Linked DNA regions of Elephas maximus indicus. The protein of the gene in region 1 interacts with the protein of each later gene in a pairwise test. Links are inferred from orthologs where the notes say so. Each region holds a gene or a part of one and is shown in the gene's direction. Other genes may lie near its edges. The genes, in order: EFHC2, CCDC120, CLIC3 and COPE.

Region 1 (8,014 bases):
CTGCTCCTCTGACTTTCTATTGAGTTGTCTAATTCTGTAATTTTATTGTTAATCTTCTGAATTTCTGATTGTTCTCTGTCTATGGATTTTTACAGCTTATTAAATTTTTCATTATGTTCCTGAATAATCTTCCTAATTTCTTCAATTGCCTTATCTGTGTGTTCCTTGGCTTGTTCTGCGTATTGCCTCTTTTCCTTCCTGATGTCTTGAAGGGTTCTGTTTATTAATATTTTGTATTCCGCCTCTGGTAATTCCAGAAGTGCACGTTCATCTAGAATATCTCTGTATTCTTTGTTTTGAGAGCCTGTTGAGGTGATCATGGTCTGTTTCTTTGTGTGACTTGATATTGACTGCTTTCTCCAAGCCTTCTACAAGGTATTGTATTAGTTTATGCTTGCTCACTGTGTCATAGCTTTTTGCTTTGCTTTTTTTTTGTTTTGACATGCTCAAATGGTTTGCTTGAGTGAGCTAGCTTGATTATTTTCACCTTTGGAGCTCTGACATCTTGTCCCCAGATGGCTAGAGCTGTTATCAGGTATATCAGTCTGTGAGTTCATTCAGTTTTCTTGTATGAATTCATCTCAGGTGTCCAGGTAGCTGATCATCAAGTGTGTGGTACAGGCTGTGTCCTACAGTCTTAGGGGGGCAGGGGTGATTGGTGTATGTACTGGCATCTGATTGCAATGGGGGTCACCCTCTGAACAAGGCAGGGGGTAGAAAACCGACCCCTGAGTGTCTCTGAGGAAAGCACATCCCTGTTCCCTAGAGCATGCAGGTGGGTGAGTTCTGCAGATGGACCATGGGTACCCAATGTTTTTGTTTGTAGGAACTGGGAGGTACCATTTATTCTTGCACCCCCTTTCGTGTGTGGCTGGGTGATCTGAGTGCAGCTACCAGTCCTTAGGCCCCTATGTGGGTAGGTGAGGACACTGTTTAATAGGCAAAGCAATGTCAAGTATCAAACACCCACTTCTCCACCTCAAAGCTAAAAAGGTTGGATTCTGCAAATATGGGTGTTGTCTCCTGAAATAGGCCCACACAGGTCCATGCAGAGGGGAAAGGTGCTCAAAGTCCATGGACTGTTTATGCCTGGACAGTAGCCGCTTCTGTCCTGAGCTCCCCTGGTTAGTGGAGCTGACAAATTATCGTTTCCCCCAATTGCAAATTTTTTTCTTCTCCAGGGCCAGGAGGATGGCCCTAGGCACTGAGCAGGGCCTGTCTCAGGCCCAGGGAATTCAGCCATTGAAGGTGGCTTGGGGTTGGGGATGCACGGTAAAATATATGCAAGTACTTAGCTTTTGCCGGGAGCGCCGTTCTTCTCAGCTTCCGGAGGTGTGAGTAGGGTGTGTTGCTGGCTGCTTCTCCCTGAGGAAACTGCGGTTGAATGCTAGTACCAGTCTGCCACCGCTGCTCCGGGAATGGTGCCTGAGGGCTCCGCATGATTCAGGTCCAGTAACTCCTCTCCGCTTCTGAACCATTTCTTCCTCCCCCTGCCCCTCTGTTCTTTTGCTAAGCTTGCCTTTGATATTCAGGGCTCCTAGCTTGTCATAAATATACTCGTTTCACTTGTTTTTTAGGGTCTTTGTTGTAAGGAGGGCTTGCTGGAAGCGTCTGTCTATTTCACTGTCTTGGCTCCTCCTCCCTCATAGTATTTCTAGTTCTAGTTTTTTAAGGAAGAACCATACTTAATGATCATTTTCTGATTTTGATAATTCTATTTCAGCTCTGTACTAGAATATTTTCTGTAAATATTCAGTGAAGTATTTAGGGACATGGTGTCTGCAATTTACTGTCAAAGGGGAAATCATGTGTATATAGAGAGAGAATAATAGAACAAATATGGTAAAATATTAAAAAAAATTGAAGGAATCTGTGTGAAGGAGTTATTTGTACTATCTAGCAACTTTTAAAAATAAGTTTAAAATTATTTCAATTTAAAAAGTAAAAATATTTAAAAATGTTTGTAATAAAAGTAGGAGAGTAACTTCATCTTTTTGGCAAAGTGTACAAATCACAAACCATAATGGGAAAGGGTGATACATTTGAGTAGAGAAAATGACAAATTTTTGTGCAATAAAGAACTCCATAAATGGAAGTAACAGGCAAAGCACAAGTGATGAGAAGATATTTGCTATGGCTAGGATTAGTGTCTAGAATGAATATATATATATATATATATATATATATATATATATAGACACACACACAGAACTACAAATCAGTGAGAAAATCATGCATGATTCAATAGAAAAATCCAGTAAAAAAGGGTATGAATAGGTAATTAACAGAAAGTAATAAGCATGTGAAAAGATGACCAACTGTACTTGTAATTAGGTAAAGATAAATTAAGATAACAAGGGTATACCATTTCACATTTATTCAGTTGATGGTCCAAAATTATAAAATTTGATAACACCCATTGTTGGAAAGGATAAAGAGAAAAGAGGATTTTTTAAAAAAATTTTCTTAAGTGGTTCAGTGATTCTAGAAATGATTTAACAAGATCTAGTAAAGTCGAAGGTGTGTACCCCTAAAACCCAAACCGAGTGCTGTCGAGTCGATTCCGACTCATAGCGACCCTATAGGACAGAGTAGAACTGCCTCACCCCTACAACCCAGCAATTGCACTTTTGGGTATAAACTGAACAAAACCAAACCCATTGCCATAGAGTTGATTCTGACTCATAGCGACCTTGTAGGACAGAGTAGAACAGCCCCATAAGGTTTCTAAGGAGCTGCTGATGGATTCAAACTGCCGACCATTTTGGTTAGCAGCCTGAGCTCTTAAACATACCCTAGATAGTCTCTACCTTCTGTGCCAAGAGGACATATACAGGGGTGTTCATTGCATCATAGTCGATAATAGTGAAAAATTGGAAACACCTAATTGTCATCAACAGAGAATAGATAATTTGTGGTATAGTCATACCATGCATTCAGAATGAATGAAGTATATCTACATGCGTCAACATGTAGAAATCTGAAAAAAATCTTAGTTGAAAAAAGCAAGTAGCAGAAATTTATAGTGTAAAGGCTGTAAACACAGAAAACAATGTATACTTTTTGTGAATAAATGCATACCAGTATGGAAACCCTGGTGGCATAGTGGTTAAGTGCTACAGCTGCTAACCAAAAGGTTGGCAGTTCGAATCCACCAGGCGCTCCTTGGAAACTCTATGGGGCAGTTCTACTCTGTCCTATAGAGTCGCTATGAGTCGGAAGTGACTCGACAGCAGTGGGTTTTGGTATCAGTATAATAACATGGTTGCAAGGAAGTATACAAACCAACATCATTAAGATGGTTACCTCTAGTGCAAAAGTAGGGAATGGGATTGAGTAGTAGTATAAACAGAGCTTCAGCAGAATCGATAACATTTTATTTCTTTAAAAACAAAAGGATTTGAAGCAAATATGGCAAAATGCTAGCAAATGTTTAATCTGTGTGGTGGATATCTGTATGTTTGTTAAATTACTATCTGTACCTTTATGTTAATTTAAAACAAACAAACCCAACCCAACTCAACCAAAAAACAAAATAACACAAAACAGAAAAGGAGATACAGACCCTGCCCTGGAGGAATTTTGGGATATTTAAAGAGAGTCAAGTAATATGTCATTACAATATAGAAAGATGAAAGCCACAATTAAAATGGACACCTAATACAGATGGGGTGGGGTTGGGCAGGAAGAAGGTGAAGAAACATTTCCCAGAAATGGCAAAGGTTTCCATGCCTCTCTCCCACACTGAACCAAGTCCTGAAAAACAAGAGGGCTTACCCAGGTGAAAGGAGAAAAGGTTGTTTCTAGTAGATAGTGACATTTGCAAAACCCCAGAAAGGAGAAAGAAACCTCAGGGCTTGGTCTGGGAGCTGCCAGTGGCTTTTCACAGCTGAAGTAGAACAGGCATGGCAAAGAAAGGGACAGAGGGTGTTGGCAGGTGACCCTGGCAAAGGCTGTTTAGAATAGGGTGAGGAGTCCAACTGCCTCCTGCCTCCTGAAAGAAGGATAGAAGGCTAGAAAGCTGTTTAAGCGGAAGAGTAACAGGTGTATCACGAGTTACGAAAGGATGAAATATCAGTCAGGTTTTTTTTTTTTTTTTAAATTTTTTTTTAAAGAGGAAAACCAGGGAAGAAATAATGGGGTCTCAACTGAGATAGATGAGGTGGTGACTAACCGATGCCAGAGTGTCTAAACAGTAGAAGGCAGGGAGGGATTAGCTGTAGGTGTGGGGAGAAGAATGGAGGAGGTTCCTGGCCTGGGCATCTTGGATAGATGATGGAGTGACAGGTGCTGAGTTTTGTGCCACCTGACTCCTCTCCTGGCCACTCCATGATTATGAGCACCTTACACACGTTTAGTTCAAGTATAAAAATGTACAGGGGAAGGACTGGGGATGGTGGTTACCACTGGAACGGGTTTTTGTGTGGGGGATGGATGGGATATGTGTGGCATTAGATTAGCCTAGAATACTTGAATTTAAAAAATAACGCTGATGTAAATGCAGCATAGGAAAACATTAACTTGTGTTAAATCTCAGTGAGCACATGGATGTATTGTTTCCTGAACTTTTCTGTATGTTTGAACTATTTAATAACCACATTCAATAATCAAATGGCCAAAAATGTTGGGACCAGTATTGGAGGAGTTTAAGTACATGAAAGGATGTGAGCTCTACAAAGGGGTTAAACCATAAAGCAGCGGGGGGCGGAGAATGGTGTGGTTGTCAAGTCTTTGTGCGTGCACAACGCGTGTAGAGAGAAGACTCGGATGACTTGTACGCGGCTGAGTGTGGATGGGCGCTGGAAGCAGCGGGCGAGGAGAAGAGGCCCTCCCGACCCTGCCCCTTCCCCTCCCTCTACTCTAGCTCCAGCCGGAGGACCGACCCGAGCCCCGCCCGAACTCCGCCCCTCCCTGCCGCCCGAGCCCCGCCCCGAGCCCCGGCTCGGCCCCTCCCCCTTCCGTTACACCGCCTCCCGTCTCCAGGTAACGAGAGGTCGAATGACGCGGCCTCGAGGCAGCCGCTGCAAGCAGGCCCCTCTACTTTCAGACCCTGGGTCCTCGGACGCGGAGAGCCATGGCCTTGCCCCTGCTGCCTGGCAATAACTTCAACCGCAACGTGAGTAGTGAGGACGCCCGAGGTCAGAGGTCCTGGCAGGAGTGTGGGTAGTCATTGACCCCGCTGGTGGCCGCCAATCGCTAGTTATCCTCCTGCCGGTTGGGCTCATCTTGGACCAAACTTCATAGGCTGGTGGAATCCTTATTTCTCTGCCTTTTGTCATCTCTCCCTCCCCTCTCTCCACAACTGCATCTGGGTGCTTTTCCTACATTAGGTACACAGGTAGTGTCCTTATAGGTGATAAACGAAACGACAGTACCCGTGAAAGTAAATGATGATAATGACAGTAATACTTAGTAAATGTTGAGCGTTTAAGGTGTGTCAGGAACTGTGTTTTAATCGCCTTATAGGGCATTTGATGCTCCCAACAGCCCTTTGAATTAGGTACTATTTTTACTTCCATTTTGCATTTGGGAAATCTGAGGCACAGAGTCACTCACCGACCCAGAGCTACACAATCTCAGTGGTGGAGCTGAATATCTTCCAGGCAACCTGTCCTCACAGCCCAGGAGCCTAATTATTTATCCTCAATATAGGGTGTGAAAGGGATAAATATAGTTTTCCATTAGTAAAGCAAAGAAGCCTGGCACTCTCAAGGGGGATGGGGGCTGATTGGCACTGAAACATGGAGGAATTTTTTGAAGGTACAAAACAAAACAACAACAACACAAAATACTCTGAGCATTGAAGAACTTTAAGAAAGGTGTTTAAGTAAGGTGCTATTTATTCACCTTAAGAACATTCAGGTGAATAAATAGCACCTTACTTAAACAAGAGCAGAAAAGCCATTCAGGCTTTTGTTTGCACTGGTCACTGTTCTTTACTTGGGTTTGCCAGTTGTGTCTGCAGGAAAAGGTAAATAATAAACCAATGGGAAGGAACTAGATGGAGCAAACAGTTGGATGTTGCAAATAGTTAAGTGCTGGACTACTAGCAGAAAGGTTGGCGGTTGGAACTCACTGAAAAGCACCTTGAAAGACAGCCCTTGCTATCTGCTCCTGGAAAGTCATTGCCTAGAAAACCCTATGGAGCAGTTCTCTGTATACATGTGGGGTCTCCATGAGTTGGAATCAACTCAGAGACAACTAACAACAGCAGTTCATAAACTTTCTAAGCTTAAGCATTTGACTTTATGAATTCTGAACATGTCTGTATCCAAGTCGATGACTCTAAAGTACTGGTCAGCTTTGTAGCCTCAGTCCACAGGATTCTGACCCCCCCATGCGTCTGTTCAGTCAAAAATATTGGTTTGCGCATTTCTTGCCTGGTGGGTAGAGGCTGGCCTTCCAGCACAGCGCGGCCCTTTGGTAAGATTAAGCCAGCCATCCAAATAAGAATGGGCCTAGAGAGGCAGGGCATGAAAAATGAAAAAAGATTCCAGAAGTAAAAAAGCATGCTGTGTAAAAGTAATTTTAATAAAAATTGAAAGTGAAGCCCACACCTTTTGGCCCACAATGGTTCAGATTACTGATGCCCACCACTTGCAGAAGTATCACAGCTCTCACATGCAATGATTAAGGGTGGGAAGGAAAACCAGTGGTTGGAGGAGATATTTTAAAATCTGCAAGGCTGTACTGGTGTACTTTTGCTCTTTTTTTTTTTTTACCCTTTTACTGTGAAGCACAATGTATAGAAAAATGCACAATGGATGATTACAAAATGAATGTCAAGAAATGGAACCTTCCCAGAATTCCTAGTGTTCCTCATGACTAGGGTTGCCAGATTTAGTAAATAAAAATACATGTCCCAAATATTGCATGGGATATACTTATACTAACAGATCATCTGTTGTTTATCTGAAATTCAAATTTAACTGAGTTTTGTATTTTATCTGGCAACCCTACCTATGACCATTCCTGTTCACTATTCCTTTCTGACTCTCCAAAGGTAACCACTCTCCTGGTTTCCATCACTATAGTTAGGTTTCCCTGCTTTTGAATGTATTATAAATGGAATGTCTAATGTTTATTCTTTTGTGAGTAGCTTTTTCAACTCAACATTATGTTTGTGAGATTTGTTCATGTGGCTCTCTGTAGAGGTACTTATCCATTTTCATTGCTCTATAGTATTCCATTGTATGACTATGACATTGTTTATATGTACATTTTACTCTTGATAGATATTTGGCTTGTTTGGGGCTATTAAGAATAGTTTTGCTATGACTATACTTGTTCACCCCTTTTGGTACTTCTTAGATCACATGGTATTTATATATTTAGCTTTAGTAGACACTGTCAAAATGGTTATATCAATTTAAATTCCCACCAGCATTTTATGTTCCTATGCTCTACATTCTAACACTTGATTTTACTAGTCTATTAAATTTTAGTTATTTCAATAGGTGAGTGTAGTGTAACTCTTGGTAGATTTAATCTGCATTTCACAGATTCCTAATGAAGGTGAGCACATTTTATGCATTTATTGGTTATTTGGATATTCTCTTTTGGAAAGTGTCTGTCACTTGTCTAATTTTCTATTGGGTTGTCTTTTTTTTTAGTGACTTGTAAGGGTTCTATACTTATTTTGGGTATAACTTCTTTGCCAGATATATGCGTTGGAAATATCTTCTAGTCAGTGGTTGGCCTTTTCACTCTCTTAATGGTGTTTTTGGTGAATAATTTTTTTCCTTTAGGTTTATGCTTCCTGTTTCCTATTTAAGAAACCATTCTTTACACCAGGTCGTGAAGATATTTCCCCATGTTATCTTTTGGAAATTGTGTTGTTTTTACCTTTCACATTTAGATCTACAGTCTACCTAGAATAAATTATTTGTGTGTAAAAGAGGGGTAGGGATCAAGTTGTATTCTTTTCCCATATGGATATTCAGTTGACTTAGAGTCACTTTTGGAGAAGGGTACCCTTTTTCCACTCCTCTGCAGAGCCACCTTTGTCATACAT
Region 2 (6,824 bases), about 6.5 Mb from region 1:
GAAGTAATGTGGCCATAAACTAAGGAATGCCAGCAGCCAGAGGGACCACGGTCCTACTGACACCTTGATTTCAGCCCAGTGAAGCTGATTTTGGACTTATGGCCCCCAGGCATGTGAAAGAATAAATTTCTGTTGTTTTAAGCCTCCAACTCTTGTGGTGATTTGTTACAGCAGCCACAGGAAACTAATATAGATGGCTTGGGGGTACAGTTGGGGGTCATTAGAGGCCCTTTGAGGATGCATAGGGTTATGCTTAGAGGTCATTGGAATGTGTTTGGGGTGCAGCTGGACACCATCAAAGGGAAGACTGAGGTAGGGTTGGGGGTCAGTGGAGGGTGGTTTAGAAGTGGAGTTGGGAGCTTGTGGGAAGGCAGATGGGGTACGTTTACAGGTAGCACCAGGGGCTATTAGAGGGCAGTTTAGGGTGTAGTTAGCAAATCTTGGAGGATACGGTTGGGAAAAATTGGAAGATGTTTTGTGGGTATAGTTGCTATAAAACCAAAAAACCAAACCCACTGCCATCGAGTGGATTCTGACTCATAGTGACCCTATAGGACAGAGTAGAACTGCCCCATAGAGTTCCCAAGGAGCACCTGGTGGATTCTAACTGCAGACCTTTTGGTTAGCAGCCATAGCTCTTAACCACTATGCCACCAGGGTTTCCATAGTTGCTATATAAAAATAAATAAAAATATTTGCATGTAATTTAAGACAAGTTTGGGGATGGGGCCATTGAAGGTGGTTTGGTGTGTAGTTTGAAGTTGCAGTTGAGGGATCAGGGGAAGATAGTTAGGGAGTATCATGGGTTGAATTGTGTCCCCTCAAAATATGTGTCAACTTGGTTAGTCCATGATTCCCAGTACTGTGTCATTGTCCTTCATTTTGTGATTGATGTAATTTTCCTATGTGTTGTAAATTCTAATCTCTGCCTGTGGCTAATGGGGCGAGATTAGATATGTTACAGAGGATTAGGGTGGGATGTAACACCTTACTCAGGTCACATCCCTGATCCAATGTAAAGGGAGTTTCCCTGGGGTGTAAGATAAACGGTGGGCTTGCATCACCTTTTATCTTACGAGAGACATAAAAGAGAGAAGCAAGCAGAGAGACAGGGGGACCTCATACCACCAAAAAAGCAGCACCTGGAGCTGGCACCCTGAATTCAGACTTCTAGCCTGCTAGACTGTGAGAGAATAAATTTCTCTTTGTTAAAGCCATCCACTTGTGGTATTTTTGTTATAGCAGCACTAGATAACTAAGACAATGAGTGTTTAGAGGCAGAGCTGGGGGCTGTTGGAAGGGGAATTTTAGGGATGAGGTTTAGAGTTGCTGAAGAGTAGTTTGGGTTAGAGTTGTAGATCACTGAAAGGGCATTTTGGGGGTTATTCTTGGGAGTTAATAGATGGCAGTTTGAGGGTGTGGTAGAGACTGTAGTGGAGGGTGGTTTGGGATGAAGTTGAGGCTCTAGGGCAGTAGTTTAATAATGAGGTTTGAGGGTCAATAGAGTGGTTTGGTGTATGGTTGAGGACTAGTGAGTAAGGTTTGTGATGCAGTTTGGGGGCCTTTTCGAAGATCTCTATGTCAGAGGACTGTTGTGAGTTATAGTTAGGGAGCTACTAGTGGGTGATTTGGGAAGTAGTTAAAGATCACTGGATGGAATATATTCAGCAATAAAAGGAACAAGCTACTGATATATGTTATAACACGGATGAACCTCAAAAACATTAAGCTAAGTGAAAGAAGCCAGACCCAAAATCCATATATTACATTTATACGATATGTCCAGAAAAGGCAAATCTATAGAGAAAGAGCCCTGGTGGCCAAGCAGTTAAGAGCTCAGGCTGCTAACCAAACGGTCGGTAGTTCAAATCCACCAGCCACTCCTTGGAAACCCTACAGGGCAGTTCTACTCTGTCAGATAGGGTTGCTATGAGTCTGAATTGACTCTATGGCACACGACAACACAAAAACAACATAGAGACAGAAAGTAGATTAATGGTTGCGTGGGGTGGGAAAAGAGAATGAGGATTAACTGTATTTAGGCATGAGGGATCTTATTGAGGATGATGAAAGTGTTCTAAAACTGGATTGTGGTGATTGTTGCACAACTTGGTAAATTTACTAGACTGGATTGTATGCTTAAAGTGGGTGAATTTTATGGTATATAAATTATATCCTATTTAATTGTTCTAAGAAAAGATCACTGCAGGGTGCTTCGTGGTACACTTGGGTCACTGAAGTGTGGTTTGGGGTGCAGTTAAGAATCACTGAAGGCTATCTATATGGGATCAAATTGACAACAGCAACTTGAAAGATTAGGCAGGAACTTTAGAGGGCAGTGAGTTTGTGTTATTGGGGGAGGAGCAACTTAGAAAAGGAGGGTGAGAATGGTTGCACAAATGGAAGAATGTAATCAATGTCTCTGAATGGTACATGTAGAAACTGTTGAATTGGCTCATGTTTTGCTGCGTATATTCTCAACAACAACAAAATATTTTTTTTAAAAAAGAGTCATTGGAGGGCTTGCGGGACACATTTTAAGCCCCTGGAGTATGATTTGGGGGTTCAGTTTGGTAACTACAGCAAGATGGTTGGTGGTTATTTGTAAGTATAGTTGGGGAGGACTGTTGGAGAGTTGGGGCATGCAATCTGGCAGAGTGCAGTTTGGTTTTGGAGGTATAGGAGATGTTGGAGCATGGTCTGAAGTGCAGCTTAGGAATCACATATAGAGTAGTTGGAAGTTATTTAGGATAGTGATGGGGGCTGTTGGAAGGTAGTTTGTGTATGTGTGGGGTTAAAGGAAGATTTTTTGGGGGGCCAATGGCTCAGGGGTAGAGCAGGAGACTGTTAGAGTGTTACTGGGTGTGCAGGTGGGGCCACACTAAGGGTAGTTAGGAATGTTTGGGGTGATGTTGAGGGCTCTTGGAAAGTAATTTGGGGATGAGTAGAGTATGACTCGGAGGGTATACGGGGTTGTTTTGGGGTCAGTGGAGGGTGTTTTGGGTTGCATATTGGGGGTAGGTGGAGGGTGGTTTGGAAGTGCTGTTTGGAAGTCAATGTTGGCTGGCTTACAAAGTTGATGGAAGATGGTTTGGGGAAAATAACTTAGGGGTAATGGAGGGTAGTTTATGGGTGCAGCTTGGGTACCCATGGAGGGTGGATTGGAGGTGCTGCTGGGGGGGGGTCAATGGAGAGTAGTTTTGAGATACAATTGGGGAATGACAGAGGGTGGTTTGAAGGTTGAAAATCAAAGGTAAATGTGTAGAGTGATTTGGGAGTTGATGAAGCAAGGTTTGGGGGTGCATTTCGGGGTCTATGGATAATTGTTTTGGATGCAATCTTGATGTCTATGGAGGGTAATTTAGGGGTATAGCTTGGGGTCAATGTAGTTAGTCACTTGGGCGCAGCTTGGAGGTCAATGGAGTGTGTGGTGTGGGGTGCATTTGGAAGATGGCACAAAGGGTTGTTGGTGGCGTTTAGAGGTGTGGTGGGGGTTGTTATAGGGCAGTTTGGGGTGCTGCTTGGGGGTCCATGGAGGGTAGCTCAGGGTGAAGGGCTCCATTCTGATCACTGAGAGGGTGTAGCCTCGTTGGGGGCGGGACCCGGACCTGGAAAGGTGAGCTCCCGGGGCGGGAGCTACTAGGTTCCTTCCCCTAACCGGCTTGGCAGCCCTTGAGAACGCGCGTGCGCACGCACTCCCAGTTTGTCCGCCCAGGGCCCTCCCAGGGCAGGGAAAAAAAAAACAACCCGAAGACCCGAGTTTGCGCCTGCGCACTTCACCTCCGCCGCTGCTGTGCTCTCGCGCCCCGCCCCCTTCCCCTCCTTATACCGCTTCGCGCTCAGCGGCGGAGCCTGTGGTGCTGCCGGGAGGCCGGGAGCCAAGGAAATCGAGTTAAAGGTGGGGGGCGAGGATTCACCGCCAGCGGCGGAGCCAGGCGCTTCTCTTCCACCCTCTTCGCTTCTGCTGTCTGAACCCCACGGCTATCCGTCGCGCGGTGCACGCGGCCCAGGGGCAGGGCGCGGAAGGGGAGTAGGCGCGGGCCCGAGGACGAGCGGGGGCCCGCGAAAGAGGGGCGCACCCACCAGCACTCTCGGCCTACAGCGACCCCTCCGTACGCCGTGGTACAACGAGTCTCAGTGAGTAATAACTCCCGCCCGGGGACGAAGGGAGGGAACAGGGCGGGGTGAGGACCGAGAAACGCCAACGGCAGACGTACCTGCGCGAGCACACTCCCTCACTTCTGACCCTGTGGACTCTCTCGACTCCTGTCTTACCTGACAACATATTTTTTTTAACCACGAACCCTGGCCCAGGACCTCCTTCCTGACCCCTGACCTAATCATATTCTGGTCTGCCATGGTCCTCAACCCCTGTTTTGCCCCTCTAAACCCAGTCCTCACCCCAAACCCCGTCCAGTCCTGTCCTCAGGATTCTTGGCCTGAGCGGAGCCTTGCCTGACTTCATGCCATCTCAGAAGCTCATCTTGCCCTGCTCTGATGCCCAACGCTGACCCCATTTTCTGTCCAGATGTTTGACCTGTCTGTTCCCTAAACCCCTGTGCAGTCTCTGACTCCCTTCTTAGTCATGTCCTATCCCGTTGACCCCAACCTGATCCCAGACCTCATAGTTTTTCCCCTTCCCCTTGGCCCTTTCCTGACTCCTGACCTCTGTCCTGGCTCACCACCTTTGGAATGCCCCCCTGTCTTCTGCCCTGTCCTCGCCCCCAAACCTGTCCTGTTTTTCCCTTTCCTCTCTTGTCCCATCACTATCCCCATCCCCATTCTCATGCTGTCCTGGTCTTTTCCTCTTCCTGACCTCCAACCTGAACCTGCCCTTTTCCCTCTTGCCCCCCAAACTACTGTTTTGACCTGTCCTGTTTTGTGACTGCTGTTCTATACTGATCCTGACCCCTGCCCTGCAGTTTTGTCCCCTTTTTGTGCTTTGTCTCTGACCCCTGCCCTGAACCTCACTCCATCCCATTCCCTAGCCAGTGTCCTGGCTCATTCCATGTCCTTCCTCTTAACCTCTATTCTTTGATGAGTCTTATTCAGTCTTGTCTCCTACATTCCTTCCTGTCTTGTTCCCTCATCCAGTCCCAACCCTGGGCCCCTGTTCTAACCCTCACCATTCCCCTCCACCCTGTTCAGATCTCCTTTCTTCCTAACACCCACTTTCCATCCCCTCTGAGCCCAGAAGGACAGGGGTCTCATTATACCCTGCTCCTGAACTTGGAGGGTCGTCATTCCCAGGGCCTCTGAAGTACATCCCAAGTACTTTCTCTTAGCGAAAGGGGGAATGAACTTTCATTCTGCCTACTCCATCACCTACAGCTGCCTGAGCAAACAGTCCTGTGGGGCTGATGGGGTTTTGAATGTGATCTACCCTCACTCCAGTGATGTCATACAGAGCTTGCACTTCTCTCTCTGCCCCAAGAGGGCATGGAACTGGTCCTACGCCCCCCCCACCTTCCCCAAGTGTGAAAGAATACCCTAAATTATTCATTGGCTCTCTGGGAGTCTGCAAGTTCCAGGTCATGTTTCCAGCCTTGCCAGGTCGGAGGGGCTGCCCCATGTCAGGGGGATGAGCGAGTATTTGGGGATAGCGGACCCAGGAATATGTGTGAATCTTCCAGGTCATGTTATCTCCACCCCCTGGTCTTGATTCTGAATGTGTGATCCGTGCTTTCCTGGCCTGGAAACAAGTCCATTCTGGGCCAGAGGCTTCAGGGTTTTGTGGGGGTAGGATGGGGGCAGAGGTTTATTTCCCCTTCTCTCTCAGCAGTAAGCAATATCAGTCTTGGTGCTAAGTCTACCCACATTTGTGGGGTGGGTCTGTGTGTGGGGGGCAGGGAGGGGCGTGGTCACTGGATGTTAGAAACAGGTCCATCCAGTAGTAATTATAACAACAGTATTAATAGGATGATCCCTTGCTGTCTGCATCTCCTTGATTCTGAGATGGGGAGAATTTGTGTAGTGAGGAAGTACTGTGTTATTCAATTACATCTTGTTTCAGTGTTTCTCATAGAGTACTGAGAGTTTGAATAATGAGAGCTACCAAATCCATCTCATTTATCCAAAACGTTTAACCAACCTGTTAATAACAGTACCATCACCATAAGTGTTCCTCGATGTCCCAATCTATTTGGTACCTGAGTTCTGAGAGGAAGCATTCTGATCATTCAGACAGTGAAAGATACCAAGATATCTTAAAGTTTTTGGTTTCTGCATTTTACAGAGTAGGTAGAGTTCAGATAATGAAGGATAAGGACTCTAACGCAAAAATATATTCACATCTATTAACTTTTTGAGTTCCAGTAGCAAGAGTTGGGATACCTAGGTTTGTATAAACATATTTGGTTCCTGCATTTTGCCTGGTAAGTAAGGAAAGCTCAGAGAGTGAGGGATACCAACTCTATCTCAGATATGTATCTAAATCCATTCAGTTGCTGAATTTGGATAGTGAGAGTTGAGACAAGTTATCTGAATGTATTTGGTTCCAGCATTTTTTGTTTGTTTTCTTTTAAAATTAAAAAAAATTTTATTGTGCTTTAGGCAAAAGTTTACATTGCAAATTGTTTCTCATTCAAAAATTTATACACAGATTGTTTTGTGACATTGGTTGCAATCCCTGCACTGTGTTGACATCCTCCCCCTTTCTCTTGACCCCGGGTTCCCCATGTCCATTCGTCCAGTTTTCCTGTCCCTCCCTGCATTCTTATCTTTGCTTTGGGGCAGCTATTGCCCATTTGGTCTCGTGTACTCGACTGATCTAAGAAGCATGTTCCTCACATGTGTTATTGTTTGTTTTATAGCCTGTCTAATCT
Region 3 (6,837 bases), on another chromosome or scaffold:
ATGAGGAAAGTTTTCCCACATTGTGGTCCTTCACGGCAGGTCCTGGAGCAGCATGTGCTTCCTGTCCCCATCTGTAGGCAGAGAAGAAATCGGCCTTCACTGTCTTCATTCCTAGAGAAAACACCCAGACCATTTAAGGAACAGCCTAGAAGGTTCTGGATTCTAGGCTGCCCTCACCGTACAGCACACCCAGCCCCTAGAGCCCCCAGCCTGGCAGGAGCCCAGGGTCTTGCTGTTCCCCACCACTATGGACCCCAATCACCGAGAGAGAGCCGCCTCCTGGGGGAAGGGTCCCCAACCCCTCATGGAAACACGAGGAGGGGTCAGGGCAAACAGTGTCAGAGTTTGGAGCTTGACCATTTCAGCTCAGGGCAGCTGGACACCTGTCTCTGCCCCACAGCTATGCTTCCATCCCTCCCCGATCCCTAACCCCCATATTCCTGCCAGGTCAACAGCTAGGACCACCCAGATGGACGGGGTGGTCAGCCAAGTCCCTGCTGCAGATGAACCCGCCATACCTGGGGTCTGATCTCAGGTCACTACTGCCTCCTGGGGCAGCAAGTCCCTGGGAAGGTGAAGCTTAGCATGCCCTGGAGTTTGGACAGGGCAGGGACACTCAGGCAGGAAGGCCACCCTGGGCATTCTCCGTGTGTGGATGGGGTTGGGGGTGGGGTGGGGGCCCGGACTCAGGGCACTGTATGTGCCAGGTTCCCCCCATTCTCTCCATCACAGCTCTCTTCTTGTGGCACTGATCCTTCTTCCCGGGGAACATAAGGCGGCACACCTGAGCCGTCCTCAGCTCTTCTGGCCCAGGTGTCCCTCTGCTCAGGTGCCCCCAAAATTTCACTGCCACCTGCTCCCGGGCATAGAGCACCCCAGGACTCCTTCCTCCAAAGTTTGCTGATGAACCTGACACACCTATTTTACCAGTGTGCGTAACTTCAAATATCCGGTAGCCAGAGGAACAGCAGGTGGGGCTGCTTAGGGTAGGCGAGAAGCCCCTGAGCCAGCAGGGGTGGGGCCAAGACTCACAGGAAAGTAAACGAAGCCTCTAGGTTCTCACCCTCCAGGGCAGTCACCATCATGGGGGACACCTTCTTGGGCCTCTTTTCCATGGACAAGTCCTTGTCGGCCACCACTGCCTTCACATACCAGGTCCCTAGGAGCTGGAGGTGGGTGAGGCATAAGCCCTCAGCCTGTCCCGACCACCCCACCCGACCCAGAACCTGCTGAAACCCACCCGCACCCCAGCCACACACAGCCCAGCTGCCTAACTGGAACCGCAGTACCAGCTGTAGCCCCTAAAGGCTGGCCAGGCTCCACATTTGGATACCCTGGCTTGATCAGTGCAAACCCAGCACACAGTCCCAGCCCCAAATGGAGGCAGAGGGTGTCTGTGGCCCTACAAATCTCTTCTCTGCCAGGACAAGGTCCTGTTCCAGACAATCCCGAAATGCCTTGGGGAGAGGGTGCTAGGGTGCTAGTTCAGCAGGGTTACCGAGCTGAGCCTGCTCCCTGCCCCAGGCCCCTGTGCCGAGGGAGGGGCAGGTCCAGGGACAAAAAAGCTCAATCTTCCTGCTCCCTCTGACTACCCGCTGCCGGAGCACAGAGCCAGGGCCCTAAACTGGACCTAATCCCCATCTTAAAATGACACCTCCTACAGTCTGGTGGTTCCTCAAAAAGCTAAACATAGAATCACCGCATGACTCAGCAATCCCACCCCTAGGTATGTACCCAAAGGAATTGAAAACAGGGACTCGAACAGTTTTGTGTACACCAGTGTTCACTGCGGCACTATTCACAACAGCTGGAAAAAACCCAAGTGTCCAGCAACAGGTGGGCTGATCAAAATACGTGGTCTATGCATACAGTGGAATGCTCAAGCGTAAAGAGAAATGAAGTCCTGAGTCATGCCCCAACATAGGTGAGCATTGAGAACACGACACTGAGTGACAAGGTCAGACACAAAAGGACAGCATTGTATGATCCCATTTATATGAAATACCTAGACTAGGCAAATGCGCAGAAAGAAGTAAAATCGTGGTTTCCAGGGGCTGGGGGTGGTTATTGTTTAAAGTGTACTGGGTTTCCCTTTGGGGTCAAAAAGAATACACACACACACACACACACACACATATACATATACAGAGACAGTGGCTGCAACAGTGGGCTCAAGCGTAGTGAGGACAGTGCAGGACCAGGCAGTGTTTCATTCTGTTGTACATGGGGTCGCTATGAGTCGGAACTGACTGCAGGGCACCTAACAACAACATACACTGTGTATGTTACACACTACATATGTTACACACTACATACGTTACACATCACATGTTACATACTACATATGTTACACACTACATGTTAGACACTATACACGTTATACACTACATACATTATATACTGTATTATTATGAAGCCCTGGTGGCACAGCAGTTAAGTGCTCGGCTGCTAACCAAAAGGTCAGCAGTTGGAATCCACCAGCTGCTCCTTGGAAACCCTATGGAGCAGTCCTGCTCTGTCCTATAGGGTCACTACGAGTTGGAAACCACTCGACCACAATGGTTTTATTATTGTGCATATAAAATTTTACACACACACACACACACACACACACACGACATGTGGTGAACAGGTACAGGTGTGCAGGGCCTCAGGCTGCTTCCCCAGGGTTGGCAGTTTGTGAGGGAAGCAGAAACCAGCCAGAGGAGCTATGACTGTGGCACCGACAGTATTGGCATGGCTGAAAGCGTGGAGCACCGGATCTTCACAGGGGCTTCATAGAGGCGGGGTGGAGGGGAAAACTCAGGCTCCAGGGGGGTAGCCTGACCGCTACCTGACTATGTGACCACTGGAGGCCCCCGCACGCACGTCGGTGCCCCTGAGCCCCGACCGCGTGCTGGAGAGGACGGCGCATTTCGGGCACGGCACAGACTCCCGGGAAGGCTGCGGAGCCTTGAGCCGGGGACAGGAGCCGAAGCCGCGTGGACCAGGGCCCTTGGCGAGGGGGCAGCGGGCAGAGCGCACGGGCGGGCGTGGGGAACCGGCGCCGCCCGAACGCCCTGTCCGGCCAGCACCACTCTACGCGCTCCAGGTGAGCCGGGCGCGCAGGCTCCGGGCAATGCAGTTTGCGGCCACCGGGTGGCAGCCGAGCCTCCTTGGGCGCCCTGCCTGGAGGAGGTCGCCCCTCCGGGGTCCCCTGGGGCTGCTCCCCTTCCACTAGGCGCCCGGGGGCGGGGGGAGACGGGAACGGGGTGCACCCAGGTTGTGGGCTCCAGGAGGCTGGGGATCTAACTTCCCTCCCCACACTTCTTTTTATAAGGTTCGAGGAGAAAGAAAAGCCAGCGCTGGGCCTGCGTGGGAGGGCAGTAGTGCAGGGTGGAGGCGCCTCCACCACGGTCTGGAAAGCCAAGCTCATCTCCCAGACTGGCTGGCTGGAATGTGGGGTGCTGCCCTGAGCAGGAGTGCAGGCTTGTCTGTGACACCGCCTGACCCAGCAGGGCCAGCTGTGCGTTGGGTAGCGGGTCCCTCCCAAGAGGGCTCATCACTCCTAATGCAGATCCTAGAGATGGGGAAACTCAGGCCACGGCTAGGATGTTCCTCCCCTCTCTCCCAACAAGCAGACACCCTAGCTCTCTGGGCCCAGGCCCTGATCAACAGCAGGTGCTCCCTGCAGAGGGCCCTGAGTGCAGATCTTGGGCTGGGGTCTGTGGTGGGGGTGCCTGATCCAGAGCTGTGCCCACCACCCCCCAGCTAGTGGCACTCCACCCCCCTGCCTCTCACTCAGTCCACTGTTCTTGAACCCCTCCGACTGTCTGCCCTGAATCAGACCCACAGTCCTGGGCCCTCAGCCTGTACCAGCTGCCTCAGTCTCAATCTCGGGCTAGCCCCAAACACCCAGTTTCCACCTACAGTCACACCCTGGAGCTCAGCCTTCTGCACGTACAGTCCTGCACAGCTGGCTCTGAACCTGGGCAGCCTCACCTCCCGACTAAGTACCTGGTGGGGCGGCCCCTGGGCCAGGGAGGGCGGGGCAGCCAGGGAGCCTTAAAGAGCGCAGGCCCCTGCCTGGCGCCCTGTCTGTGCTCAGAGCCTCTGCGCCTGCCATGGCTGAGACCGCCAAGCTCCAGCTGTTTGTGAAGGTGCCAAGAGGGCTGGGCTGGGGGACAGGGCCTTGGGGGAGGAGGCTGAGTGGCTCTTCTGGGCTGAGCTCTCTGGTGTGGGCTGAGGGGGTCTCCCAGATAGTGGCTGAGCCCCTGCCGTTCTGGTGGGCTTGGGGACTCAGGCAGCTGTCAGCAGGTTGAGTAAAGTAAGGGCTGCTTGGGGAAGAAGGCCCCCAGTAAGTCACCCCCAAAGTGGGGGAGTTTCTTCACTCCCAGTCTGGTTCTGGGCCCAGCCCATCACTTGGGGCAGGGGTGGGGGGAAGCCCTGGTGGGGAAGTCAACCAGGCTGAGGCCCTGGAGCTTGGGGTCAGTGTGCGGAAGTGAGGAAGGGCTGGGCCAAGCAGCTCTTTGGCCTCAGGTCAGTGCGCATTCTTGGGGTCTGTCTGTGTGTAGAGGGGTGGAATGCGGCCGGACTCCACCCCTCCCCACCTTGGGGGTGCGGGGAGTCAGCATGGTGCCAGCAGAGATGCCCAGCTCAGAGGCGTGAATCACTGAGAGAACAGCTCCCAGCCCACCCCACCCTGTCACCAGCTGACGGGCCTGGAGCAGGGGGCCTGGCCTCTGTTCAGGCTCTGAAGATAAGGTTTGAGGGGCCGGAGGTCCCACCCCACCCTAGCAGCTCTGCACCCTCTCCAACTCAAGTGCCCTCTTGGAGCGGCCCTGTCCAACCAGCCAGCCCTGGCGCTGCTCCCAGCCCGCCTGGTGGTGGATTCCTGGGGCTGCTCCCTGCCCTAACCCCCTGCTCCACCCACCCAGGCGAGTGAGGATGGCGAGAGCGTGGGGCACTGCCCTTCCTGCCAGCGGCTCTTCATGATTCTGCTCCTCAAGGGCGTGCCCTTCACGCTCACCACCGTGGATGTAAGAAGGTGAGCCCATCCCCGCCCTGCGACCCTTCCCGGGCCTCCGCGCCGCTCGGCCAGGCCCTCCTTCCTCCTGTACTGCAGGTCCCCAGACGTGCTGAAGGACTTCGCCCCCGGTTCGCAGCTGCCCATCCTGCTCTACGACGGCGACGCCAAGACAGACACGCTGCAGATCGAGGAGTTTCTGGAGGAGACGCTGGGGCCGCCCGAGTGAGGGCCCCGGGCGGGGAGGGGGCGATGGGCTCCGGAAAGGACGACCCAGGACGAAGCTGGCGGGACGCGGGCAAGGGAGTGCTGACCGGGCCTGATGGAGCGTCCCCACCCACCCCGCCCGCAGTTTCCCCAGTCTGGCGCCCCGCTACCGAGAGTCCAGTACAGCAGGCAACGACGTTTTCCACAAGTTCTCGGCGTTCATCAAGAACCCAGTGCCCGCGCAGGACGACGGTGAGTGGGGCGGGAGCAGGCTGGCCGGGAGGGCGCTCCGGGACCGGATCCTTACTGCCCCCATCCCCCAGCCTTGTACCAGCAACTGCTGCGCGCCCTGGTCCGGCTGGACCGCTACCTGCGCGCGCCCCGAGAGCACGAACTGGAGCGCGAGCCTCAGCTGCGTGAATCGCGCCGCCGCTTCCTCGACGGTGACCAGCTCACTCTGGCTGACTGCGGGCTGCTGCCCAAGCTGCACATCGTGGACGTGAGCACGGGCGCGGGCGGCGGGGCCCGGGGCGCGGCCGGCGGGGCGCGGGCGCGCGAGGGCCTGACCCGCCTCCCCCCCCAGACGGTGTGCGCGCACTTCCGTCAGGCGCCCATCCCAGGCGAGCTGCGAGGCGTCCGCCGCTACCTGGACAGCGCGCTGCAAGAAAAGGAGTTCAAGTACACATGTCCACACAGCGCCGAGATCCTGGCGGCCTACCGACCAGCCGTGCGCCCCCGCTAGCCGCTCACGTCTCCCTACGGACCGAGCTCCCCGCCTGCCGCCCCCATGCCCACTCGTCCGGAGCCCTATCGAGGCACTTGGGCCTGAGTGCGCGTGATCTCACGTCCGAGGGCCCAGACCCCACGATCACTGCCACCCCTAAGCCCCACCTTGGGAAGCTCAGCACCAGATGACCCTCCCAGAATGACAGGGACAGGAGAACGAGCAGGTGCGGGGAGAGGGACACAGCCCTTCCCCCACACACACGGCAAACCCAGGGGCTCAGAGCCTCCTGCAGCCATCTGGGGCCTGCGACAGGGATTGCGGGGACAGGATTGGGTTCCCAAACCAGTCAGGCCAGGGCGGGGCGGCAGGATGGCCGAGGAGGGTGGGGAGCCAGGGCCCAGCCCTGGGCACCCCGGGGCTTGGGGCTTGGGGCCAGGGGGGCGGGGCTGGCCCACATTCCTCAATCCCGCCCCAGCAGGTGGCCGCAGCCCTTCTCGGACTCCTGGTGGGGGCAGCTCCAACGGGTTACTGCCCAGGCCCTACAGCGCATCTGTGCATGGTGTGTGGCCATCTGGGTGGGGTCTGTCAGAGTGACGTGTGCAGGGCGGGATGTGTGCCGGGTTGGGGTGGGAATAGCGTCGACCTCTTGGGTAGCTCTGGGCCTGCCCTGCACCAGCTTCACAGGCAGGGAGGGCTGGGCGGGTATGCAAGAGCCGGGGCTCCGGCAGACCCAGCGACCAGGAGCCTCCTCCCGAGAGTGCCCAGGAGCCGCAGGTTTGAGCCAAGATGCAATCTGCTTACTTCCGGTGGCCCCGATCCCAAGGCAGCCCCCAGGAGCAAGTCTGGCCCCGCACCTCTGCCGGAGGGCTGGAAACAAAACAACTGTTGCAGTTTCTGA
Region 4 (7,268 bases), on another chromosome or scaffold:
TGGAAGCCACATCCACCTGACCCGAGACGCCATGCTGCTCACCACCACCTTATACTGGTTCCCTCCCAGACCTGGGATTCCCTCCTCTAATCTGCATTCTTCCCCACGTGTCTGTCAGTTCGTCATAGTGTGGGGGCTTGCGTGTTGCCGTGATGCTGGAAGCTGTGCCACAAGTATTCAGACACCAGCAGGGTCACCCATGGTGGACAGGTTTCAGCTGAGCTTACAGACTAAAACAGACAAGGCAGAAGGACCTGGCGGTCTACTTCTGGAAAGAATTAGCCAGTGAAAAACCTTACGAATAGCAGCGGAACACTGTCTGATAATAGTGCCGGAAGATGAGCCCCTCAGGTTGGAAGGCATTCAAAAGATGACTGGGGAAGAGCTGCCTCCTCAAAGTAGAGTTGACCTTAATTACAGGCATGGAGTCAAGCTTTCAGGACTTTCATTTGCTGATGTGATAATATCCTAGTTGTTAGCGAGCTGAAATGGACTGGTATTGGCCATTTTCAATCAAACAATCATACAGTCTAATATGCCGGGAATGACAAGTTGAAGAGAAATGGCATTGCGTTCATCGTCAAAAAGAACACTGCGAGATCTATCCCGAAATACAACACTGATAGGATAACATCCATACGCCTACAAGGAAAACCAGTTAATACGACTGTTTTTCAAATTTACGTACCAACCACTAAGGCCAAAGATGAAGAAACTGAAGATTTTTACCAGCTTCTGCAGTCTGATATTGATTGAACGTGCCATCAGGATGTACCGATAATCACTGCTGATTGGAACGCAAAAGTTGGGAACAAAGAAGAATGATCAGTAGTTGGAAAATATGGCCTTGGTGACAGAAACGATGCTGGAGATCGCATGACAGAATCTTCCAAGATTAATGACTTTCTCATTGCAAATACCTTTTCTCAACAATATAAATGGCAACTATACACGCGGACCTCGTCACATAGAATACACAAGAATCAAACTGACTACATGTGTGGAAAGAGAAGATGGAAAAGCTCAATGTCATCAGTCAGGACAAGGCCATGGGCTGACTGCAGGACAAACCATCATCAATCGCTCATATGCAGGTTCAAGCTGAAACTGAAGAAAATTAGAACAAGTCCACGAGAGCCAAATTATGATCTTGAGTATGCCACACCTGAATTAAGAGATCACCTCAAGAACAGCTTTGATGCATTGAACACTAATGACTAAACACAAGAGGAGTAGTGGAATGACATCAAGGACATCATACATGAAGAAAGCAAGAGGACACTGAAAGATTAGAAAGAAAGGAAAGATTAAAATGGATGTAAGAAGAGGCTCTGCAACTTGTTCTTGACTTTGAGTAGCTAAAGCAAAAGGGAAAATGATAAAATAAAAAAACTGAACAGAAGATTTCAAAGGGCAACTCAAGAAAACAAAGTACTACAATGACATGTGCAAAGACCTAGAGGTAGAAAACCAAAATGGAAGAACACATCTGGCATTTCTCAAAGCTGAAAGAACTGAAGAAAAAATTCAAACCTCAATTTGCAATATTGAAGGATTCTACGGGGAAAATATTAAACGATGCAGTAAGTATCAAAACAAGATGGAAAGAATATACAGAGTCACTATACCAAAAAGAACTGATCTATGTTCAACCGTTTCAGGAGGCAGCATGTGATCAGGAACCGACGGTACTGAAGGAAGAAGTCCAAGGTGCTCTGAAGGCATTGGCGAAAAAACAAGGCTCCAGGTATTGAAGGAACACCAATTGAGATGTTTCAACAAATAGATGCAGTGCTAGAAGTGCTTACTCATCCATGCCAACAAATTTGAAAGACAGGTACCTGGTCAATAGACTGGAAGAGATCTGTATTTATGCCTATTCCCAAGAAAGGTGATCCAATCAAATGTGGAAATTATTGAAAAACATCATTAATATCACATTCAAGTAAAATTTTGCTGAAGATAATTTAAAAGCGGCTGCAGCAGTATATCAAAAGGGAACTGCCAGAAATTCAAGCCAGATTCAAAAGAGGACATCAAATGAAGGATATCGTTGCTGATGTCAGGTGGATCCTGGATGAAAGCAGAGAATACCGAAAAATATTTACCTGTGTTTTACTGATTATGCAAAGGCATTCCACTGTGTGGATCATAACAAACTATGGATAACACTGCAAAGAATGGGAATTCCAGGACACTTAATTGTGCTCACGAGGAACCTGTACATAGATCAAGAAGCAGTCACTCGAACAGAACAAGGGGATCCTGGGTAATTTAAAGTCAGGAAAAGTGTACGTTAGGGTCGTATCCTTTCACTATGCTTATTCAATCTGTCTGCTGGGCAAACAATCCAAGAAGCTGGGTTATATGAAGAATGGGGCGTGAGGATTGGAAGAATAGTCATTCACAGCCTCTGATGTGCAAAGGACATAACCTTGCTTGCTGACAGTGAAGAGAACTTGAAGCACTTACCGATGAAGGTCAAAGACCACAACCTTCAGTATGGATTACACCTCAACATAAAGAGAAAAAAAATCCTCCCAACTAAACACGAAACAATAAATGTTGGAGAGGCTGTGGAGAGACTAGAACACTTATACACTGCTAGTGAGAATCTAAATTGCTACAACCACTTTGGAAATCGATTTGGCGCTTCCTTAAAAAGCTAGAAATAGAACTACCATACGATCCAGCAATCCCACTTGGATTATATCCCACTTGGAATATATCCTAGAGAAATAAAAGCCTTCACACAAACAAATACATGCACACCCATGTTCACTGCAGCGCTGTTTACAATAGCAAAAAGATGGAAACAACCAAGGTGCCCATCAACGGATGAATAGATAAATTATGGTATATCCACACAACAGAGTACTACACGTTGATAAAGAACAGTGATGAATCTGTGAAACATTTCATAACATGGAGGAACCTGGAAGGCATTATGCTGAGTGAAATTAGTCAGTTGCAAAAGGACAAGTATTGTATAAGACCACTATTGTAAGAACTCAAGAAATAGTTTAAACAGAGAAGAAAATATTCTTTGATGATTATGAGAAGGGGGAGGGAAGAAAAGGGGTATTCACTAATTAGACAGTAGATAAAAACTTCTTTAGGTGACGGGAAAGACAACATATAATACAGGCGAGGTCAGCACAACTGGACTAAACGAAAAGCAAAGAAGTTTCCAGAATGAGCTGAATGCTTCGAAGGCCAGCGTAGCAGGGGCGGGGGTTTGGGGACCATGGTTTCAGGGGACATCTAAGTCAACTGGCATAATAAAATCTATTAAGAAAACATTCTGCATCCCACCTTGGAGAGAGGCATCTGGGGTCTTAAATGCTAGCAAGCGGCCATCCAAGATACATCAATTGGTCTCAACCCACCTGGATCAAAGGAGAATGAAGAACACCAAGGACGCAAAGTAATTACGAACCTAAGAGACAGAAAGGGCCACATAAACCAGAGACTACATCAGCCTGAGACCAGAAGAGCTAGATGGTGCCTGGCTACAACCGATGACTGCCCTGACAGGGAACACAACAGAGAACCCCTGAGGGAGGAGGAGAGTAGTGGGATGCAGACCCCAAATACTTGTAAAAAGACCAGACTTAATGGTCAACCTTCCCTGTGCTCTGAGACTATGCAACTTTAGAGGTTACGTCACGTCTCTGCGGACGCAAGGTCCGCCACGCGGTCTGAAAGCCAACACCGCCCTGTCCACCTCCGAAGCCCAGACTCGCCCGGAACGCCCAAGACTGCGCCTCACCTCGCGGAACCAGCGTGGACAAAGGCCGCGAGAAGGGAAGAGAGGGGGAGAAAAGCGGAGACACCTCCTGGGAAAGCGGCCGGCACACTCACCCTCCAGGATGGCGGGGATGCAGCCGAGCTGCACGGGCGTAGGCTGCTTCAGACCCAACTGCCGACATTGTTCCACTAGCCACGATGACAGCCCGAGCTCCGCGAAACACGGCATCCTCTTCCCCAGTCGCGGGGTGGTAATGAGCCGCGTTTCCGGTGCGCGCCGATGACGTCACGAAAGCCTTTTCGTTCATAGTGACTAGCCCCCTCCGCCAATCCCCCCCTTCGTCCGCTGCCTCATGCGTTCCCCAAGATGCAGTGCGGGACAGGCTTGCACTCCGCCCCCTGACTCGTATCTATGAGCTTCCCATTGGTTCATCTCCCTGTCACCTGGAGCAAGTAAACTACATTTCCCGGCATGCTCCGCGGCGGTCCCTGATTTCGGCCGACGTGTCCCTCCGGAAAGGGAAGTGGGTGAGACGACAGCAACATGGCGCCTCCGGCCCCCGGTCCGGTCACTGGCGGCTCCGGGGAAGTGGACGAGCTGTTCGACGTGAAGAACGCCTTCTACATCGGCAGCTACCAGCAGTGCATCAACGAGGCGCAGCGGGTGAAGGTGCGGCTGTGCCGAGGCTGGGGGACTCTGGGGGCGGAGGTGCCGGCAGCTTCTTGTGGTCACAGTCAGCTGCTAAATACTCTCCCTTTTCTCGCAGCATATTCCCTGCGCTCACCTCTTAAGAGCGCGGCAAGGAATTAACATTGTCTTATTCCAAAGTCTAAATCTGTAACAGCTTTGTTTATAAAGGGCTCGCTCTGCGCCCGGGAATGTATTCGAGTGAGGGAGGTAGTTATTCCACTTTATAATAATATGATGATGATGATAAGTCCCACTTGTCGAGCGCACACTGTGCCCGCCGTACTCTCCGTCCCCGTGAAGAGGGGACTGCTCTTTATCTTTATTTCGCAGACAAGCACTTCAAGGCTCGGAGAGAGGGTCGCTTCCCCAAATAATTACTTTGCCTGCTAGCTCAGTTGTTTCTGCCAAAACTCATTCATTCATTCAATAAAGTACTCATTGTACTTATTGAGGATTAGAACGGGCCATGGAATGTGTTCTTGCAGTACTCGGGACAATAACCCAAATAGACAAAGATCCCAGCTCTCTTGGAAATCTCAGCCTAGCAGAAAAGACAGACGGAAAAGAAGAAACACGAAGTGAGGAAGTGGCAAGAGAGTGGTGTGAAGGAGAGTGGTGGGCGTGAGCTTGGATATTTATTATTGTTACCCAGTCGGCCCTGGCTCTGTGTATAACAGAATGAAATGTTGCCCTGCCCTGCACCATCTTCGTGGTCTGTAGTGTGCTGGAGTGCATTGTTGCAGCCACTGTGCATTTTGAATGCCTTCCAACCCAGATGGCTCATCTTCCAGCACTGTATCAGACAGTGGTTTATTGTAATCCATAGAGTTTTCATTGGCTGGTTTTCAGAACCAAGGGGTTCTTCCTGGCCTTCCTTATTCTGGAAGCTCCACTGAACCATTCCACCCTGCTGATACTTGAAATACCAGTAGCATAGCTTCCAGCATCACAACAACACATAAGCCACCACAGTAGGACACACTGACACACGGGTGGTGGTTGGCTGTTTAAGAGCTAGAAAATCATTCAGCATGGCAAGACCCAGCGAGTGAAGCAGGTAAAAGGAGAGGAGCGGCAGGGCCTTTTAGGAAGGTGTGTAGACTTCGCTGTGATTTTGAGGGCAAGCCTTTAAAGCAGAGTGAACATGGCAGTGGCCTTGCCCCACCTTCACTGTCTCAGGTCCCAAAAATGGTGAGTGAAGAAGGTTTGGATACATAATTACGGCCTGTGATTAGTGCTATTTGTAGTCCTGTTGCTGAAAATCTTCAATTTCTTCGTCTGTGGCCTTAGTGGTTGCTGTGTAAGTTTGAAGAATAGTTGTATTAACTGGTCTTTCCTGTAGATTTATGGGTGTTATCCTATCAATGATAGTGCTGTACCTCAGGGTAGATCTTGAGATGTTCTTTTTGACAATGAATGTGATGCCATTTCTCTTCAAGCTGTCATTCCGGCATGTCGTTGTTGTTGTTAGGTGCCGTCGAGTCGGTTCCAACTCAATAGCGACCCTATGCACCACAGAACGAGACACTGCCGGTTTATGTCGTTGTTATGCTTGAGCTCATTGTTGCAGCCACTGTGTCAGTCCACCTCATTGAGGGTCTTCCTCTTTTACGTTGACCCTGTACTTTGCCAGCCATGATGTCCTTCTCCAGGGACTGATCCCTCTTGACAACGTATCTAAAATGTGTAAGGCGCAGTCTTGCCATCCTTGCTTCTAATGTGCATCCTGGTTGCACTTCTTCCAATACAGATTTGTTCGTTCTTTTGGCAGTCTGGCATAGTAGACCATAATTGTCTGATTCAAAACGGCCATACGTGTTTCTGTTTCTTTCTTTTTTTTTTTTTTTGAGCTTTAGGTGGAGGTTTACAGAACAAACTAGCTACTGTTAAACAGTGTACATATTGTTTTACGATATTGCTTAATAACTCCACAACCCGTCAATACTCCCTTTTCGACCTTGGGTTCCCTATTACCAGCTTTCCTGTCTCTTCCTGCCTTCTAGTCCTTGCCCCTGGGCTGGTGTGCCTCTTTGTTTTGTTTTATGGGCCTGTCTAATCTTTGGCTGAAGGGTGAACCTGAACAGTGACTTCATTACTTGTCCAGGGGCCATATCCTCAGGGTTTCTCCAGTCTTTGTCAGACCAGTAAGTCTGGGTTTTTTTTGTGTGAGTTAGAATTTTCTACTTTTTTCTCCGGCTCTGTCCGAGACCCTCTATTGTGATCCCTGCCAGAGCAGTCGGTGGTGGTAGCCAGGTACCATCTAGTTGTACTAGATTCAGTCTGGTGGAAGCCACGGTAGCTGTGATCCATTAGTCCCATTTCTTTTTGATGACTTCCAAGTTTTCTAGATTCATACTTTGTACATTCCATGTCTCGATTGTTAATGGATGTTTGTAGCTGTTTTTTCTCATTTTGAGAGAGGTCCTGTTTCCCGTGGGAGTGGTCCTGTCTCCCCAGGCCTTCTGGACAGTATGGTCAGAACCTGAGACTGACCCTTTTTTTTTTTTTTTTTAATTTTTATTGTGCTTTAAGTGAAAGTTTATAAATCAAGTCAGTCTCTCATACAAAAATTCATATATGCCATGTTATATACTCCTAACTGCTCTCCCCCTGATGAGGCAGCACACTCCTTCCCTCTGCTCTCTCTTTTTGTGTCCATTCTGCCAGCTTTTGACCCCCTCTGCCCTCTCATCCCGCCTCCAGACAGGGATGCCATAGTCCCATATGTCTACTTGATCCAAGAAGCTCATTCTTCACCAGCATCATTTTCTATCCTGCTGTCCAGTCCAATCCCTGTCTGAAGAGTTGGCTTTGGGGATGGTTCCTG

What was found.
Region 2: the proteins of EFHC2 (region 1) and CCDC120 interact in binary tests that used the Homo sapiens proteins (3 or more experiments, as listed by UniProt). The link is inferred for Elephas maximus indicus from reciprocal best matches to the Homo sapiens genes EFHC2 and CCDC120.
Region 3: the proteins of EFHC2 (region 1) and CLIC3 interact in binary tests that used the Homo sapiens proteins (3 or more experiments, as listed by UniProt). The two-hybrid records come from large-scale screens. The link is inferred for Elephas maximus indicus from reciprocal best matches to the Homo sapiens genes EFHC2 and CLIC3.
Region 4: the proteins of EFHC2 (region 1) and COPE interact in binary tests that used the Homo sapiens proteins (3 or more experiments, as listed by UniProt). The two-hybrid records come from large-scale screens. The link is inferred for Elephas maximus indicus from reciprocal best matches to the Homo sapiens genes EFHC2 and COPE.

Annotation. Positions count from the first base shown.
Region 1 is NC_064846.1:128,993,495-129,001,508, forward strand, and holds the start of EFHC2 (EF-hand domain-containing family member C2), read left to right. Parts: upstream 1-5,003; 5' UTR 5,004-5,074; coding exon 5,075-5,116; intron 5,117-8,014. UniProt on the Homo sapiens protein: Microtubule inner protein (MIP) part of the dynein-decorated doublet microtubules (DMTs) in cilia axoneme, which is required for motile cilia beating.
Region 2 is NC_064846.1:122,538,713-122,545,536, reverse strand, and holds the start of CCDC120 (coiled-coil domain-containing protein 120), read left to right. Parts: upstream 1-3,824; 5' UTR 3,825-4,137; intron 4,138-6,824. UniProt on the Homo sapiens protein: Centriolar protein required for centriole subdistal appendage assembly and microtubule anchoring in interphase cells. Together with CCDC68, cooperate with subdistal appendage components ODF2, NIN and CEP170 for hierarchical subdistal appendage assembly.
Region 3 is NC_064827.1:1,442,198-1,449,034, forward strand, and holds CLIC3 (chloride intracellular channel protein 3), read left to right. Parts: upstream 1-4,044; 5' UTR 4,045-4,103; coding exon 4,104-4,139; intron 4,140-4,916; coding exon 4,917-5,026; intron 5,027-5,104; coding exon 5,105-5,230; intron 5,231-5,357; coding exon 5,358-5,464; intron 5,465-5,535; coding exon 5,536-5,711; intron 5,712-5,795; coding exon 5,796-5,954; 3' UTR 5,955-6,320; downstream 6,321-6,837. UniProt on the Homo sapiens protein: In the soluble state, catalyzes glutaredoxin-like thiol disulfide exchange reactions with reduced glutathione as electron donor.
Region 4 is NC_064821.1:38,774,012-38,781,279, reverse strand, and holds the start of COPE (coatomer subunit epsilon), read left to right. Parts: upstream 1-4,259; 5' UTR 4,260-4,294; coding exon 4,295-4,420; intron 4,421-7,268. Other genes in the region: probable ATP-dependent RNA helicase DDX49, read right to left, coding at 3,865-3,979. UniProt on the Homo sapiens protein: The coatomer is a cytosolic protein complex that binds to dilysine motifs and reversibly associates with Golgi non-clathrin-coated vesicles, which further mediate biosynthetic protein transport from the ER, via the Golgi up to the trans Golgi network.